3 linked regions of the Kluyveromyces lactis genome follow. The protein of the gene in region 1 binds, or shares a complex with, the protein of each later gene. Links are inferred from orthologs where the notes say so. Each region holds a gene or a part of one and is shown in the gene's direction. Other genes may lie near its edges.

Region 1 (3,762 bases):
TTGATGTTCTGAGTAAAATCCATCTCTTGCGGTAAGATAACTTTCATAAGGAAATGTTTTAGACGAAATTCCAATGCCGTCAAATCTCTGTGTATATGTTTGATGTAATCCATTGCAAAATACTCTGGTATATCTTTACAATCTACGTCTATCTTCATGTCCTTTGGATCAGTTTCCTTAGAGTTAAATATGGGGAAAAGTTTGTCAGTAAACCCTGATGACAAATAATCAAGCGCTCCAGAAGTATCACCGCAGCTGTTGGCAGATGGGGAATAAAATAAGGTCGGTATTATCTCTCTGTTGCATTTTGCCTTTGAAGCGGTCTCAAGAAACTGTCTTGCCAAAGAGTTGCCCTTAGAAGGTTGTGATTCAAAAGACGATGCTGTTGTGAGGTCGGGCTTCAACTGAGAGAAATTTAACAGTTTCGTGTGCGTTTTCTTAAATGATTGAGTGGAGGAAATTGATATGTTAGAGTATGATTGATTTTTTAGAAGACCCAGACTACTGTTACCGCTCCCCGGTTTACTACTAGCCATATGTCCAGATCTATTGCTAGAATGCTCATCCTGACATTTGAACGAGCCATCTAATAACGCATCACTAAACCTTAAAGAACCACACGTAATATCGTCATGGTAAATGTTTTTATTACTGGCATGATGAGACGGATTGAATTCGGTCAAATCCCCCATCTGAGTCTTAGAATTGATCGAAGCACCAGATTTACGACGTTTCCCATCCCAAGGGACTCGTAGATCTGCGGCATCATTCTTATGAAATACGGACCCGCGGAACAAAGGGTTAACCTGGGATCCAATATGGTTGGTATGTTCACGATGGCTAACCTCCATTAGACTTCGAATTTTTGAGTTTGAGTTTGAGTTTAAAGTTCCTATTCACAAAGTAATCTCCTCAGCAAAAATATTTCAACTCTAAAACCTCATTCCATGAAATATTTTCGTCTTTACTCGCCACGAAATGAAACCAGGCTGCTATCTAATTCTTATTTGATAGCTGCGCCTTATCTCCACCTACCGACTTCCTCTATTCATGTTGGAATAGAAATTGTCTGATGAAGAGACGAACCAGGAACGCTATTACCCGGATAGTGCATGTGATTTACACGTGACTAAAAATCACCCTTTTAAAAGGCTAATTTGAGGCCCCATAAGCAAATATTCGCCCCACCAAGGCGAAAATATCCCTACAAGTTTACCTCACTGCATGCTTATCCGTTGCTGGCGCGCTGACGCGAAAGGTTGAATCCCTGCTATTTGTTTAGTCCACTTAAAAAGCTCTTGGGACAACAGAAGGGAAAAAAAAAAAACAAAAAAAAAGTGGGATCTTTTGAACAACAAATATATATCTTATTTGATTTATATGTGTTTTATTTAGATTCACGAGTTTCAGGAGAAGAGTAGAGCGGAAAATACAGGGAGCGAGGCATCTGACACCGTGTATCCTTGTGACTAGCAGTACGAAGCAATAGGAGACTGTTTTGATTTTAATTGCCGTGTGTCATTGCAGATTCAATTGAGTGCTCGTTGGCTTTTTCTGATTCAATTATTGGTTATTTGATTTGATCTTAGATTTCAGGTTTTAAGCGTTAATCAGCATAGGATGCCGTACGAAGTCGGGACTCGCTGCTGGTATCCCAGCAAAGATCAAGGATGGATCGGTGCTGAAGTTACTAAACATACCTTGCAGGGAGATTCCTATAATTTGGAATTGACTTTGGAGGATGGACAGAAAGTAGAGCTTTTAGTGTCTTCTTTAGATGAAACCAAAGAGCCTAGTTTACCCCTACTTAGGAACCCTCCAATCCTTGAGACTACGGAGGATTTGACGTCATTGTCATATTTGAATGAACCGGCAGTTTTACATGCTATTAAGGCCAGATATGCCCAGTTGAATATCTATACTTATTCAGGGATCGTGCTCATTGCCACAAATCCCTTTGATCGTGTGGATCAACTATATTCTCAGGAGATGATCCAGGCATATGCAGGGAAACTTAGAGGTGAATTGGAACCACATCTTTTTGCTATCGCAGAGGAAGCGTATAGGTTGATGAAGACAACAGATCAGAACCAAACAATCATCGTTTCTGGTGAATCCGGTGCAGGTAAGACTGTTTCGGCTAAATATATTATGAGATATTTCGCTAGTGTGGAAGAAAATAATGAGGAAAACGCACATCATAATTTGGAAATGTCTGAAACTGAAAAGAAGATATTGGCCACTAATCCAATCATGGAAGCATTCGGTAATGCTAAGACTATTAGGAATGACAACTCTTCCAGATTCGGTAAATATTTGGAAATTCTCTTCGATGACGATACTTCAATCATTGGTGCCAGAGTGAGAACATATTTGTTGGAACGTTCTAGGTTGGTTTTCCAACCGAAAACTGAAAGGAATTACCACATTTTCTATCAAATATTATCAGGTTTATCCGACGATGAAAAATCTCAGTTGAAACTTACAGACATACAAGACTACCATTATATGAATCAGGGCGGTGACTCTCATATCGAAGGTGTCGATGACGCCTCTGAATACGGTGATACTGTGGAAGCATTGAGTTTGGTTGGTATCTCAAAGGATACTCAATTCCAGCTGTTTAAAATCTTGGCGGCCCTTCTTCATATTGGTAACATCGAAGTTAAAAAGGTCAGAAATGATGCTTCTTTGTCATCTGATGAACCAAACCTACAAATAGCGGCAGATTTGTTAGGTATAGACGCTTTTGATTTCGCTAAATGGGTAACGAAGAAACAGATCGTTACCAGGTCTGAAAAGATCGTCTCATCCCTACCTTACCACCAAGCCATAGTTTCTCGTGATTCTGTGGCGAAATTCATATATTCAGCATTATTCGATTGGTTAGTGGACAACATAAACACCGTGCTATGTAACCCTGAAGTGGTAAGCGAGATATATACTTTTATCGGTGTCTTGGATATCTATGGTTTTGAACATTTCCAAAAGAATTCTTTCGAACAGTTCTGTATCAATTACGCTAACGAAAAGTTGCAACAAGAGTTCAACCAACATGTTTTCAAACTAGAACAAGAGGAGTACGTAAAGGAACAGATTGAATGGTCGTTTATCGAGTTCAACGATAATCAACCGTGTATTGACTTAATTGAGAACAAAGTTGGTATTTTATCATTATTAGACGAAGAATCAAGATTACCTGCTGGTACGGATGAAGGATGGACGCATAAACTATATGAAACTTTGAATAAACCTCCAACTAATGAAGTATTCTCCAAACCAAGATTCGGCCAAACTCAATTTATTGTTAGCCATTATGCATTGGACGTCACTTATGATGTAGACGGATTTATCGAAAAGAATAGAGATACAGTTTCTGATGGACATCTTGAAGTGTTAAAGGCTTCTAACAACGAAACTTTACTATCTATTTTGGAAACTGTTGACAAAAATGCGGAAAAATTGGCAGAGAAACAAGCCCAAAAGCAAGAAAGTCAAAAGAAACCCGGTCCAGCCTCAAGAAAAATCGTAAGAAAACCAACTCTAGGATCTATGTTTAAACAATCGTTGATCGATCTTATGGAAACTATCAACTCCACTAACGTTCACTACATTCGTTGTATCAAACCTAACGAAGACAAAGAAGCATGGAAGTTTGACAATCTTATGGTTTTGTCACAGCTTAGAGCATGTGGTGTCTTGGAAACAATTAGAATTTCTTGTGCAGGGTTCCCATCGAGGTGGACATACACAGAGTTTGCC
Region 2 (3,499 bases), on another chromosome or scaffold:
GCAACAGCACCAGCAACAGCAACAGCACCAGCAACAGCAACAGCAAATTCGAATGCAATATCAAAAAATGATGACTTTAATGCAACACCAACAAAATCAACAAAATCAACAGCATCATCAGTTGGGTAACCAAAACATACTTCCAGGACAAGGGGATCCATCAGATAATTCAAGTCCGTCCCAGCAATATCTACAACAACAGAGAGCTTATGAGAACATGGTAAAATCACAACAGCAAGACCAACCAATGAACAAAGATCATTTTGCCATGTCACTCCAAACACAACAGCCTCAAAGTTTTGATTCATATGCTATGCCAGCCACTATGGGTCCACAAGCATCTTCTCAGCCTTTAGACAATAATAAAAAATCAGAACCTCTCTCAAAAATAGATGTTACTAACAATCAAGATTTCAATACATTCTCTGGTGGTTCAAATAACAAATTGAATTTTGGTCAGTTTGATATGTCAGGCTTGGGTAATGAATTCATGGGAGGGCGGAAGCAGTAATATGTATGTTTTACATGTTAGCTCCCTCTCATATCCGTAATACTAGTCAAAATCGAAATCAAATGACATCTGGTTTTTGACCAATGTAATTTACCGCATGGCGACGACCTAAATTTTTTCCCTTTCTTTAGTACCTAGAGTATATACCTTTCCCGTAATTAATATGTAACATTAAACTATCTGATTCGTTTTCATTGATGACTTCATTGACACTCTCTTTCGTTCTGTTGCCTTAATCTCGACTCTTGATAATGTCTTCCTGCCAATTTGTTCCACGATCAATTTTGTCGGATACTACTTTCTTTGTAAACGTAAACAAACAAAAAAAATAAAAAAAAAGCGTAACTTGATCTACATATAAATGACATCTCACTCTCAATACATTGGACAATGTAGCACAAAACTTCGAGGCTTGTCAAGCGGCTCATCCATCAATCCAACAGGTTGAATATCCTCTCATTTTGAGTGAAAACAATGGACATTTTCCAAGCGGTGCCTTTGCATCTGCAAATCCCTAGGATTGAAATTCCCAAAATGGCATCTGCAGCATCGACTCCATCAACGATGTCTTCGTCACAGACTTGGAGCAGTTCACGCCCACAAGTTCCGATCAGTTACCAGCAGTTGCGCAAGCTTAGTGAGTGGGGTATTGAGGCTTTGAAGGACACTTCGCCGACTGTTGTAGGCCAAGATCGCTTTGAATCACAGGAGATTCTGATTGATAACGATTACAGAACTGATTTTCTGAACTCACATGAAGAAGATAGCCGATGGAGTAAACAAGTAGATTTGATCATGAAGCAGCTACCTTATGGTGACCTGGATGCCTTTGTTGATGAATTTCACTATGAAATCATTTCCTCGCAACTGTTAACAAGCTCGATCGCTTCTCATCACCAGTTATTTACTGTTCAGAAATCAATCCTGAACTTCAATAAGGAAAACACCCTATCGATTCACAACGCTGAAGGAAAGACTATACCTACAAAATATGGACAATTGTTAATTTCTGGAAAAAAATTCTATTTACAGAGAACAATTCCATACATGTTCACCATATTGACGGCAAGAAAAGCTTTCCGTAAAATGCTTTATAAGAGACATCTACCTAGATCCTCTCTGATGTCCTTATTGATGATTGCTGTTTATCTAGCTTTACAGCAAGAGTACTTCCATGCAAAATATTCCAAATACACTGCCCTTTTAAATCTACGACAGATGAATGCTGCATTGCAATCTGTAGACAAATTAATCTATCGTTATCACCTGACTTATAAAGAGCTGACTATTTACAAACCAATCGCATTGACTGAAAATCGTGGTCTACGTTCAGATGAAGCCAGAACACTGACATTACTAACAGATGTCCTTACATGTACAGTAGACCAGTTATTTCACAAATTGAACATTGCATCTAGTAACATTTTGCCGGTTGTGAATGCAGTTCAGTTAACTGATTATATCAGTATTTACAATGTGGATTTGCAAAGCCTATATCAAATGATCCGAACAGTGGAAAGTCTGGACATTACACAAAAGTTGGAGAGATTGCAATATATGAGAAAGTTCTTTCTGTGCTGCTTACTTTCAATAAACTACACTGATCCACTGAAAAAGTGTGAGATTGCATTAGTCTTGAAGAGAATTTTTCCTGGATACCATGTGGAAAAGACTTCCGACATAGAGCGATTTCAAATAATCTCGAAACAATTATACACATTAACACAAGGTATCTCATCATTGTTGCCCGTTTTGCATCATTACAAACATTTACTTTTATCCGTGTACGGAAGTACTATTGAAAAAGAGGATCCCGAATCAAAGGAAGCTGTAATAACCCAAAGTATCTATCGCTTGTCTGAATTGCAGCGATACTTGATGAAACAGGACAAAACATCTACCGAACTCTCTTCTCACCTGATAGATGAGTTGAATGGAATAATACAAATATGGAATATCGACTATAAACATAACTCGCATGAACAGTTGAAACCACCGAAATGTTCTCCTCGGCCTTCCAGTCAGAGAGTTTTCAGCGGTGGACTCAATCTTGATATCGTAAAGACGACCAGTGATATCCCCGTGGTAGTTGATTCATTTCCGAAACTCACTTCGCTAGTAGACGTGTTAGAAGTAGATGAAACTGGGTCAGACATTGAAAAAGAACATGAGGAATTGGTGTACGGTACTGAAAATGATCAAGAAACAGCTTCTAGCAACGACTCTAAGTTTTCTCGTTTTACAGACGACCAGTTAAGGCACGAATTAAACCAACGAATACTGAATCTGTCAATTGAAAATAAGAAAAGTAGAGAAAACTTGAGAAAACAGAAAAGTTTTGAGCTGATGAATCGGAAAATAGAAAATCAGAAGAAGGGCAGGCCCCAGATAGATTGCAAAGGTCTTTTCAATTCCGAAGAGAGTATACCAGTACTTTTCGAACTAAAACAATTTTTAAACAGAAGAAGTGATTGACCTACATCCAATATTGATATCACTTGAATGATAAAAGTATGTATTATTTTAGTATATATAATAAACTTAAACCACCAGCATTATCGTTTCGAATATATTATAAACACTGCCTGGTTAGTTCAAAATTTCGCCTTGCTTATCGAACACAGTGCCTTTATAAGAGTCAAGGTTTTCCCCGCCGTAAGACAATAGACTTGAAACTTCGACAAGAATTTCATCATTGACTAGTGCTCCTACATCTTTCAACCAAGATGTAGTTAAATGAAGGTAAGCATCCCTAGCAGTTTCAGGATTATCATTTGCAGTTCCAGGAGCGTTTTTTAGTGGAGAGAATTCTTCTGCTCTTTCGACTTCCAAACAACCAAACCTAGACATAGGAATGGAGGGGAAAACGTCAAAAATAAACTGTTCTAACTTTATACCGTTAGGTTCTGATGGTTTCACATATTTGTCATTGACATTATCGTAGTACGAAATTTTCTTTTTGGCTATATGATATGGCATAGATTCTAC
Region 3 (2,401 bases), on another chromosome or scaffold:
TCTTGTTCATGCTAGTCAACTGGGTTCTATTGACCTTCAAAGCAACATGCATGAGTTGAATAACCCTACTTGCACGATGGTTGTTTAAGTCTCCGGTGATGACTAACTCCCTGTAGATATTCATACTACTACTGACCGAATCCCAAAACAATGAAGATTGATCTAGGAATTTACCATCGGGGGCACGAGAGGAAGATGCTTCCAAACCTCTGGCCAAACAGTCATCCAAGGCATTAAGTTTAGAGAAAGCTGGAGAATTAGGAGAGTTTTTGAAATTATCGAATTTTATGTTTCTTCTTAGGTTGCGGACCTTTTTAACGTTACGTTCAATGATTTCATTATTTTCATACTTCTTCTTAGAGTTTCTCTTATCCGAAGACGACTTGGCTGGTGCTGCAGTTGTTGGATCCTGTTGAGGATTACGCTCTAGTGCGACAGCGCTGTTGAAACGGAACTGGGAATTTAAAGAATTTCTGGACGCAGAAACGAACTGATTTGGGACCCTACTCTTTAGGGTCTGTTGTTGGACAAGTCTAAACATGGTTTTAGACAATGGCAAAGAAGATGTTCTTTTTAACCGGAAAAAACACTAATAACGAACAGTTGATTAGCTCTGTGTATAATAATCAAAAGAATTTGTTAGTAATATGAACCAAAGACTTTTTTTATAGGTAAAAGTCTAAAATCTTGAATAGTGTTAGAGTTTAGGGAATATATATATATCCATCGCCTCTGAGGGAAACCCGAACCTATTGTAATCGGACATAGTAGTCACACATACCTTTTTTTTTACTGATGAACGAAGGAACACAATATAATGTTCAGAGTTTAAACGGTATACTGATCTGTGATATAGTACTGAGCTATAACAAAAGAAAACACAACAATGAAAATTATGTCTTAGTTAACAAAAGTGATACGACACTGAACGATAAAAAACTGTTATTGAGTATGTTAATAATCGCTTTTGTTATATAGGTCATATCAAAAAAGAAGCTTGAACACTTTTCATCGCTCGACAAGAAGACAAAAGAAAAAGTGTCATCAGATGTCAGGAACATTGGATGCTGAGGAAAAGAAACTGAACGAGGGAAGGTTGGAAATTTTCGAAATGCGATGTTGAATTGTGCGGGTAACAATATATTTGACTCACGTGATGGGTATTTAAAATCCGGGTAAATGATATCTGACTGAGTTTTAGGTCGTCCAAAAAAAGAGCTTTTGAGGCCCCAGAAACAATAATTTGTTTTCCATTTTGAAAAACGTAAACAATAAGAGTATCTTTACATTTGATATATTTACTGGAGGAAGGCATGCATTGTTCTACACATTCGAATAGATTTATATTTACCTTGGAGCTTTAAATAGTATCTACTTCTTGCTAGGCTAAGTGATACTGAATCGTGATTTAATTACGCAGTACTGTATTATTCATTGAAGAAGTGGGAAATCAATCATCATGTCCAGAATCAACAAAGATATTTTTACGCTATTTGACAAGCAAGCCAAGGGATCCATCAGTAAGGCCCAAGTTGGTGATTATTTGAGAGCAATTGGATACAATCCTACCAATGCGCTAGTGGAGGAAGTTGTCGCTTCTTCAGGTGACGAGTTGACCTTAGGTGATCTAGAAAAATTAGTTAAGGATAACGAAGAGAAGTTGGAGCAAACTACTCAAGGTAAAGTAGAGGATTTCATCAAAGCCTTTCAAGTTTTTGACAAGGATAATACTGGCAAGGTATCACCAGGTGATATTCGTTACCTATTGACCGGTCTAGGGGAAAGGTTAACTGACGAGGAAGTTGATGAATTGATGAAGGGGATCGAAATCGACTCTGACGGATTGATCGACTACAAGAAATTTGTTGAAGATGTATTGAGACAATAAGAGAGAGGATGTAATGCAACTCAAGATTACATGCATTAGTTAGTATAATACAAATATATATATAAATATAAATACCCAATCTCACACGCCAGGAGCTTTGCTCTTTTGTTCTATTCTAAGCAGTCCGATACTATTGACTTGTGACAGTTCTAGATTCAAAACCCAACGTCTTCTGGTAGGGTGAGAATTGGCATGAAGTTCCCTATTATCATCATAGGTAAACCAAAGGCGTCTCTTTTTAGCGTCCATAGACAACAACATTTAATAACGCTTCCCTTGATCGGGGTTAATAGATTACAAATTCGCATAGTTTCAGCACCTCTGAACCCCTGATATGCAACCCTAGTGAACGTTTGGAAGTACTCCATTACCGTATCACCATCCATCAATTCGACTATGAAGGTCATTTTGTTGAGTAGTTCTAGACGATTCCAGCCAGTCAATAGAGAAAACTCGTCATTCACATAACTGATCTGTCCGTTACGTCTCCATACACAAGTTGGGGTACCAACC

Evidence for each region. Proteins that work in one complex are often made in the same cells at the same time.
Region 2: the proteins of KLLA0_A03905g (region 1) and INP2 are in contact, whole or in part, in a crystal structure (PDB 6IXR), measured with the Saccharomyces cerevisiae proteins. The link is inferred for Kluyveromyces lactis from reciprocal best matches to the Saccharomyces cerevisiae genes MYO2 and INP2. Residues at the interface, in NP_014971.1 of Saccharomyces cerevisiae: Ile1206, Ile1207, Ser1210, Trp1213, Arg1214, Gly1216, Phe1261, Phe1264, Ala1265, Ser1268, Ile1269, Phe1275, Gly1278, Met1279, Glu1283, Tyr1287, Phe1542, Asp1543, Gln1544, Val1545, Glu1546, Ala1547, Val1565, Val1569; in NP_013886.1 of Saccharomyces cerevisiae: His532, Gly533, Phe534, His535, Leu536, Asp537, Ile538, Leu539, Lys540.
Region 3: the proteins of KLLA0_A03905g (region 1) and MLC1 are in contact, whole or in part, in a crystal structure (PDB 1N2D), measured with the Saccharomyces cerevisiae proteins. The link is inferred for Kluyveromyces lactis from reciprocal best matches to the Saccharomyces cerevisiae genes MYO2 and MLC1. Residues at the interface, in NP_014971.1 of Saccharomyces cerevisiae: Ile807, Ala810, Ile811, Lys812, Tyr813, Leu814, Gln815, Asn816, Asn817, Ile818, Lys819, Gly820, Phe821, Ile822, Ile823, Arg824, Gln825, Arg826, Val827, Asp829, Glu830, Met831, Asn834; in NP_011409.1 of Saccharomyces cerevisiae: Leu13, Phe14, Lys16, Asp29, Arg32, Ala33, Gly35, Tyr36, Asn37, Thr39, Asn40, Ala77, Thr78, Lys80, Ala81, Asp85, Phe86, Lys88, Ala89, Phe90, Val92, Met109, Leu110, Leu113, Gly114, Glu115, Lys116, Leu117, Glu121, Glu124.

The regions. Positions count from the first base shown.
Region 1 is NC_006037.1:348,329-352,090, reverse strand, and holds the start of KLLA0_A03905g (myosin family protein), read left to right. Parts: upstream 1-1,620; coding exon 1,621-3,762. Other genes in the region: FRT2 (Frt2p), read right to left, coding at 1-851. UniProt on the Saccharomyces cerevisiae protein: Myosin heavy chain that is required for the cell cycle-regulated transport of various organelles and proteins for their segregation.
Region 2 is NC_006041.1:162,235-165,733, reverse strand, and holds INP2 (Inp2p), read left to right. Parts: upstream 1-985; coding exon 986-2,986; downstream 2,987-3,499. Other genes in the region: MSS11 (Mss11p), read left to right, coding at 1-511; QRI1 (UDP-N-acetylglucosamine diphosphorylase), read right to left, coding at 3,101-3,499. UniProt on the Saccharomyces cerevisiae protein: Required for peroxisome inheritance. Acts as the peroxisome-specific receptor for the myosin V motor MYO2.
Region 3 is NC_006042.1:962,170-964,570, reverse strand, and holds MLC1 (Mlc1p), read left to right. Parts: upstream 1-1,459; coding exon 1,460-1,888; downstream 1,889-2,401. Other genes in the region: KLLA0_F10461g (uncharacterized protein), read right to left, coding at 1-541; ERT1 (Ert1p), read right to left, coding at 2,044-2,401. UniProt on the Saccharomyces cerevisiae protein: Essential light chain for the class II conventional myosin MYO1. Also acts as light chain for the class V unconventional myosin MYO2 and for IQG1.